2 linked regions of the Coturnix japonica genome follow. The protein of the gene in region 1 purifies or fractionates together with the protein of each later gene. This does not show direct contact. Links are inferred from orthologs where the notes say so. Each region holds a gene or a part of one and is shown in the gene's direction. Other genes may lie near its edges.

The links. Proteins that work in one complex are often made in the same cells at the same time.
Region 2: the proteins of LZTFL1 (region 1) and BBS7 purify together in Homo sapiens (affinity purification with mass spectrometry; 3 studies listed by BioGRID and IntAct, counting the BioPlex papers as one, with this or other methods). This does not show direct contact. The link is inferred for Coturnix japonica from reciprocal best matches to the Homo sapiens genes LZTFL1 and BBS7.

What each region holds. Positions count from the first base shown.
Region 1 is NC_029517.1:39,361,520-39,364,877, forward strand, and holds part of LZTFL1 (leucine zipper transcription factor-like protein 1), read left to right. Parts: intron 1-890; coding exon 891-956; intron 957-1,093; coding exon 1,094-1,171; intron 1,172-3,279; coding exon 3,280-3,358. UniProt on the Homo sapiens protein: Regulates ciliary localization of the BBSome complex. Together with the BBSome complex, controls SMO ciliary trafficking and contributes to the sonic hedgehog (SHH) pathway regulation. May play a role in neurite outgrowth. May have tumor suppressor function.
Region 2 is NC_029519.1:48,256,599-48,260,854, forward strand, and holds the start of BBS7 (Bardet-Biedl syndrome 7 protein), read left to right. Parts: upstream 1-1,368; 5' UTR 1,369-1,472; coding exon 1,473-1,508; intron 1,509-1,579; coding exon 1,580-1,645; intron 1,646-1,773; coding exon 1,774-1,836; intron 1,837-2,461; coding exon 2,462-2,637; intron 2,638-3,105; coding exon 3,106-3,292; intron 3,293-3,839; coding exon 3,840-3,912; intron 3,913-4,256. Other genes in the region: TRPC3 (short transient receptor potential channel 3), read left to right, coding at 428-570.

The sequences.
Region 1 (3,358 bases):
CTGGAAAGCACCTGTCACTGTTTTAGATGTCACTGTAATAAACCCCAGAGTGTAAAGCAAAATGCTAAAAAATAGATTTTGTAAAGCATCTTATGTTTATTATGTGATGGTGGACTCTCATATGTATTACTGTATTGAACTTCCTTTTACAAAGATGTTTTGGGCTCTTCAATGACTTATTTTCCAATTTAATTAGTGAAATGAGTAGAAATCAGTACATAGTTTATGTTTTAAGAGGCTTACATTGCAACAAGGAAGTAAATTAAAATTTGAGTCTGGCTGAAACAGTTCTGTTATCAAACATTAGCTATGCAAGTCAGTCCTATTTCATTCAGTCCAGCATCTCACCACTCTCATAGTGAAGAACTTTCCTCTGAAATCCAACCTAAATCTTCTCTCCTTGTCCTGCTGTTATCTACTCTTGTAAAGAATTGACTCCCCTTCTGTTTGTAGGCTCCCTTTAGGTACTGAAAGGTTGCAATGATCTGCAAAATATTTACATACCTACTGATTCAAAATACAAGTGAATAGCAGTAGAGAAAACTGTATGTCCAGATGCATAGTTTGGTATATTGGGAATCTTGATACTTACAGGAGAGTGACTGCACCAATCCCAATTCAGTAAACTAAGGAGTAAATTTAAGTGAGAGAACCTGCAGGTTACAGCAGAACTGGAGACTTAGATTTTTTGCTGACAGAGGCAGGAAACAATAATTTGTAAGGTAGCCTTTACAAACGAATCAGTAGTCCTTATCAGCAAGGCCTTTTTTATAAGCATTTACAAGCACAGTTGCTTTCCTATGCAGTGAAACACATTTTCTTACTGGAAGTATTTGGAAAATTCAAAATAGCACAAGTCTGTAAACTCTTTCTGTTTTATTTACCCAAAGACAGTTGCTTGTCTCCAAGAAGAGAATGAAAAATTGAAGACCAGACTTAAGACAATAGAAACACAGGTAAATTTCCTGTAAGCTCGGATGCTTACTGCTGGTGATATATCTTTACAAAATCTAAATTAGAATTGCATGGATATTATTCTCATGTTTTTAATTAAAACACATATACGAGGTGTTACATTTTCCATGTGTTACAGGCTACAGCTGCACTAGATGAAAAATCCAAACTGGAGAAGTCACTGAAGGATTTGCAGATGATCCAGGGAGATCAAAAGGTAAATATAACTAGGATTTGCACTCCAGTCGCTGTTCCTTTACGCTATTGCTCATGCATCTAAAATGTTGGTCTGCATGGTATGTTTCTTTTTCTGGCAGATAGAAAACTACAGGCTAGTATTGTGTTCCTGCTAACATTGTCATACACGTGCTGCTCTGTCAGTCAGCAGATACTGCAATCTGCTGGTTTATCTTATGACATACATTTTGTGTCAAATAGACCACGGGTTGTTCTAATCAGAAGTGTCATTCCAGGTACTGTCAGAAAATAGTATTCCAGAATACATATTCTTAAGATCGATGCCTGTATTAACAGATACAAATATAGCTGTGTGTTCCTTCCCACTTAATCTCTTATATGGCAACAATAAAGCACTAATTCAAGCATTATCACATCCAATATCAACATAGACTTACTTCATCTCAGTTCAGACTTTATAAACCTAAGAGCTTACAGATGTGTCCTGATCCCATATTCCTAAAGATTAGTTGGAGTTTTGCTACAAAAGGCAGTGAGCAGGGCTCAGGTGACAAAGCTTTGATCACCTTTTTACTACTTGAAGTTATTAACCTTTTGTGTAAACGTTGATTCAAACATGGCGATTTTTTTTGCTGCAGAAAAAAGCCTAAAAAGTCAGCACTCTTGTAAGTTATATTTTTATCCATACCCTTATTTTGATCATTAGAATTTTCCAAAGTGTGTCATTTTGCAGTTGTTTCTTAAATCTGAAACATTTCAGTGCAAACTTTTAGCAACATTAGAGCACTTCAATCCCATTGTTTTGAGAGTCTCTTGAATTCCAGCTGTATTTACATTTACAGACTTGAAATTCAGTATCATAAAACATTTCCACTTTGATTTCCTTATTTTAATCTTCATTTCTTTTTATTTTGCTTACTAACTGGTTTATGGTATGTACTTGTTTTTCTTAGTACTTATCACTTATATCTAGTAACTTTCAAAGTCTGTATTCAATAATACTGTTTAATAGGGAATTTGATTTATAATATAAATCAATATATTGAATATATTTTCTTTATGTGTTTCCCTAAGCCTTATATTATTAAAGGTTTACTACTAAAGGATTTTATTAAATCCTGGGCAATGGTACTTGTAGTTTTAAAAGATTGGAAGCAAATCTATTCCTGCTTTTCTGGTTAAATATGAATTTGCCTGAATGTCAGGGCAGCCAAGTACCTGCAGCTTTCATATTCAGACTTACTTCTTATCTGTCACTTTTTTGTCCAGCTCTCACTCTGTGTGCATGTGTATGTGGTTGAAACCAGCTAGGAAATATAGCTCTAATGTATACAACTTCATTTAATTAATGGATGTATTAGTTATTTGGAGAAAATGCTATATTTTATCTTGGACTCGATCTCAAAATTCAGAATTCACTTTCTTCTGTGCAGGTACCATTATCAGTTGGTTTCTTACACTTAATACAAAGGAGCAGAGCTTCCTTAGTTCTAGATTTCTCTTCTTTTTAAGGTGCCAGCAGTTGAGCCTCATCCTGACTCCCTGTGGTTTTGAGAGTACGAAATTTAGCTTTTGTACCTGGGAGTGGTTTTTAAAACGGAATCCACAGAACAGTTACATGAATATGTTTTGTTACCCAGGGCCGATTGCCAGAAGAGTTTGGGTTGTTTCATCTAAGAAGGAAACAAGAAAGCTGCTTCACAGGCTGTGAAGATTCCTCTTGAACAGTGCAGTATCAGTACCTGACTGATAACATAGTCCTTAACACTTCCATCCTTCCCTTCTTGTGAGATGCTTCATTGTGTGGTTTCACCTCACATCTAAAGAAGGGAAACACAACATCTTGAAACATCAGCTGAGCAGAGGAGCCATTTCATCTGTCTTTAAAATGCATTTATTAACAAGTTTTTCCTAGTTAAAAATTATTCAATGCTTTATCCAACTTTGTTAGTTAACTTCCTTTGTTAAATGACTTTCTCACTATAGCACTTCTAGGTCGTGCTTTACAGGAACAGAGCAAATGTAATTCATAAAAACTAAGGCATTCCCTTTTCTGTGGCATTTTGCATCTGATACTTCAAGTATTCGTTTTCATTTAACATATTTTAAATAATTCTTGTTTTGAAGACTGATGGAAACAAGGATATCGTTGAATTGGAGAATAAAGTGGCAGCTTTGAAATGTCACTATGAGAAGACTTTGAATG
Region 2 (4,256 bases), on another chromosome or scaffold:
TTTTCTGATTCAAAGGATGTTGGTAAGGAAGAGGAGAGAGACTCAGAAGCTGTGAGTTTTGTTGCCAGCTCTGCCACACTTTCCCTGTGTGATCTCGGCATATCACTTCAGAAACAAATCTCTTTTGCCTTTTCTCTCTCCAAGGGGGTACTAACATTTACCAGCTGTTTAGCAGTGTTGCCGTGATTAATTCATTAACCTATGTGGAGGGCTTTGATGTTCTGTGTATGTGTGAAGCACAACACTGGAGTTGGTTGGATCTCAGAGAGGATGAGGAAGAGGGAAAGCCTTCTGCCCCCCTTACTTAGCTCTCATGGATGTTCTGGATGAGCAGGGGATCATCTGAAATAGGCACTAATGCGACTTATCATTTAATGAACGTTTAGCAGACTTTGCTAATAAGTATTTCTTTCCATGGTTAATACAGGTGAATTAAAGGAAATCAAACAAGATATCTCCAGTCTTCGCTATGAACTTTTGGAGGACAAGTCCCAAGCGACAGAAGAGTTAGCGATTTTAATACATAAACTCAGCGAGAAACTCAATCCCAATATGTTGAGATGTGAATGATGCGACAAAGGAACCGTGGCTTCGACTACAGCACAACTATTTATTGGCAATAATATTTCAGTATCTCATACTTGAAAACAAAAAAAAAAAAGTATTGTAGATTTTTAGCACTAAATAACTTTATGTACAGCTGCTCTGGAATTTAGTCATAGGAAATTTTATTAACTCGTCACCAAAACGTTGTTGTCTTCATCTTAATCATCTGAAAGTTAACAACTATCAAACTGTTGTGGTTTTTTTTTTTTTGCATTGATGCATTAAGAAGGTATAGAGATGAGAATTACTGATATTTTAGCAGGTTTATGGATACATGCTGAGAATCCTTTGCACTGAATTTGCAAGAAAAACAAATGAATAGATGTAAGGTAGTGTCGTGCTCCTGGCAGCAGCGAGGTGGGAACAGGGTGTTTGAGCGTGTGGTGGATCAGGTAGAGTGGGGTAGGGTTGCGCTGCTGATGGCAGTATGAGCTGAGGAGCAGGTGAGGGTGAGCACACAGCTGCTGTGCCATAATGCAGTGTGTTATTTCCACTGGTGAGGTGTGGTGGAGGTTGGCTGTTATTTTTTGTAACGACATTTGAAGGGACCGTGATCTCAGTCCAAAGCTCCTCTTCATGCGGTAGAAATGATTTTTTTTTAATTCAGACTCTGCGCAGGGCCGGTATTTTGTGACCCGATGCCTCGGATGCTTCATTGTTAAATAAAATATTGCGATACTTTACTGATACTCGGCCTGCTCCTGCTCGGCCCGTGTGGGGGCGGTCCCGCGGCCGTTGCTCACGGCACTAAGCGCAGCGCCGCCCAGTCGCCGGCCACGATTGTGCGGCTGGGAGCGCTGCCGTACGCGGGCGACGGTTGCCGCGGTGACGGGTAACGGCAGCTCGGGGCCGGGCCCGGCGGAGCCATGGAGCTGAGCCTGAGCCGCGTGGACTACATGCAGGTAACCGGCAGCGCCGCTCCCGGGGCCGAAGGGCCGGGCGAGGTGAGTGAGGGCCGCGCTTCCTTCTGCAGGTGGGCGTCACGGCGCAGAAGACCATGAGGCTGCTCCCCGCGTCGGGTCGTAGGGCCACACAGAAGGTACGGGCCGGCCCGGCTCCTCTGGCGGAACGTGACGTACCGAAGTACGGAACTGCGGTTAGCGGAGCGAAGGGGTGTGTAAAAACCCTTCGTGTGCGCTGACGTAACGCTGTGCTCTGCTTTTGAAGGTGGTGGTGGGTGATCAGGACGGAGTGATTACCTGTTTCGGCATAAAAAAGGGGGAACCTGTGGTAAGTGTCAACGTGCTGTTTAAAGGGGGTCTGGAGCACAGGCCTTATGAGGAGAGGCTGAGGGGGCTGGGATTGTTCAGCCTGGAGAAGAGGAGGCTCAGGGGAGACCTTATTGCTCTATAACTTCCTGAGGGGAGGTTGTAGTGAGCTGGGGGTTGGCCTCTTCTCTCGTGTAATCAGTGATAGAACTAGAGGGAATGGTTTTAAGCTGCGCCAGGGGAGATTCAGGCTGGACATTAGGAAGTATTACTTCTCGGAAAGGGTAGTCAGGCATTGGAATGCACTGCCCAGGGAGGTGGTGGAGTCACCGACCATGGGAGTGTTCAAGAAACGTTTGGATGTGGTGCTGATGAATATGATTTAGCTGGGAAGTATTGGTAATGGTTGGACTAGATGATCTAGGTCTTTTCCAACCTTGATAATTCTGTGATTCTGTAAAAACGGGCTTTGTAAAGCTTTCTCCCTAACAAATCCAGAAGGCATGCGGTTAGCGTTGCTTTTTGTCCCCACGTACTTGGTAGTATCCTTAGTTTTGCCAGTGGCTGTAAAGCAAGTTTAGCATCCTTTGCGTGAAAAGTTGACTGTAATCACAGAATATGATTGCGATTGCGTTTCTTCTTTACAGACAGTGTTCAAAACGCTGCCCGGCCCCAAAATTGCCCGCCTGGAGCTGGGGGGAGCTCTTAATACACCTCAAGAGAAAGTTTTTGTGGCAACAGGATCAGATGTCCGAGGTTTCACCAAAAGAGGGAAGCAGTTCCTCTCCTTTGAAACTAACCTCACCGAGGACATCAAAGCTATGTGTGTACAGTGCCTGCCGCTTCTTGTCTCCATGAAGTTATTCTCAATCTATACTTGTATGGGGTTTTTTTAACCTTATTGTGTGCATGTAGGCAGCACTCGGTGCTGCTCTGGCTTTAGCTTGTGCCTTGGCATGTAGGAAGGAATCTGGAAAGTGACGGTGCAATTGGAAGAGTGTGGGGGGGCTTGGAAGGGGCTTGGGGGCCTTTCCAGCAGTGTGTGTGTGTGCAGGTGAGTGTAGCTGGGGTTATTGGCTTTTTAGCAGCATATTCTTTCCATCTGCCCTGCATGTAGGAGGTCAGGAATAAGATTCTTCTCTTGTTTTTTTGTATGTTCTTGGTTTAAGGTGCTTGTCTTGTAAAAGGTGATGTGTGGAACCTGCAAGCAATAACACATTCATATACTAACCTAACAAAGACATGACTGCAAATATTCTGGCAACATGCTACAGTGTTTTCTTTTTCTCAGGCACATTTCAGGAGCAGATCTGTTTCTTTGCGCAAGCTATATCTATAACCACTACTGCGACTGCAAAGACAAGCACTACTACCTGTCAAGAGATAAAATCAACGACGTTCTCTGCCTTCCTGTAGATAAAGTGAATTGCATTACCCCAGTACTTGCGTGTCAGGATAGAGTCCTCAGAGTTTTACAGGTTAAAATATTTGCTTGTTTTATGTGTTGACGCCATAGCATTGGATTGATTCTTATCGAATAAGCATAAGCATAACCTTATTTGTAAGTGTTGCTGTCTACAGTGCTGGTACTTGTAAAATTAGGATTGATTGATTGATACTACAAATAGTCTCTGGAATTCATGGATAGAAGAAGTAAAGAAATTGTTATAAGTGTTTACACAAAGGAATTAAATGCGTGAGTTGTTGTAAGTTTGAAAACTCACAAATTATTGCTGTAGCAAGTCTGAGTGATATCAAATGGTTTAGCAGAATTGTTTCTTAATGCCACATGTCCTCGGATTATTATGTCATAGTTATTTTAAGTGGTAACACATTTCAAGATGTGCTTTTCTTATAGCCATGTTTTAGTTATATGAAGTTTTCTCTGTTTTGGCTTAAAGGTGATTTTATGCAAGAAAATCTGTGTAAATGAAACATGTCCATATTAAAAAAACAATTTTGTCTTTATTCTTGATTTCTCCTTTTGAATAAGAACTCATTCAAGGTAGTTCTCTTTGTCCCCAGGGATCTGATCTACTGTATGAAGTAGAGGTTCCTGGACCACCTACTGTTCTTGCTCTACACAATGGAGATGGAGGTAACAAATAATGGACTTCTGCTGTTTTTGAGATTGTAACGTTTATATTTGTTAATTACATTTCTTCTTGATTTGAAGCTGATTTGAAAAGGTAGTCAAAAACTATGTGAAACCATATCTTACTGCCCATTCTGTTTATAGAATGTAGTTGTAGAGCATCTGTATGTGTTATGGTGAGAATGGAATTTAGTTGTCCCATATACTGAACTGATGAACAACTCTTTGGTGAGAAGGGGGAGTACTTGAAGATACTTGCTTAAATTATTCCTATCTGGAACACTGGAGGAAAAACATACTTTTAGCAGTATTAAGGGCTTTTGCTGCTGGTTTTCTGATAGAAAAGG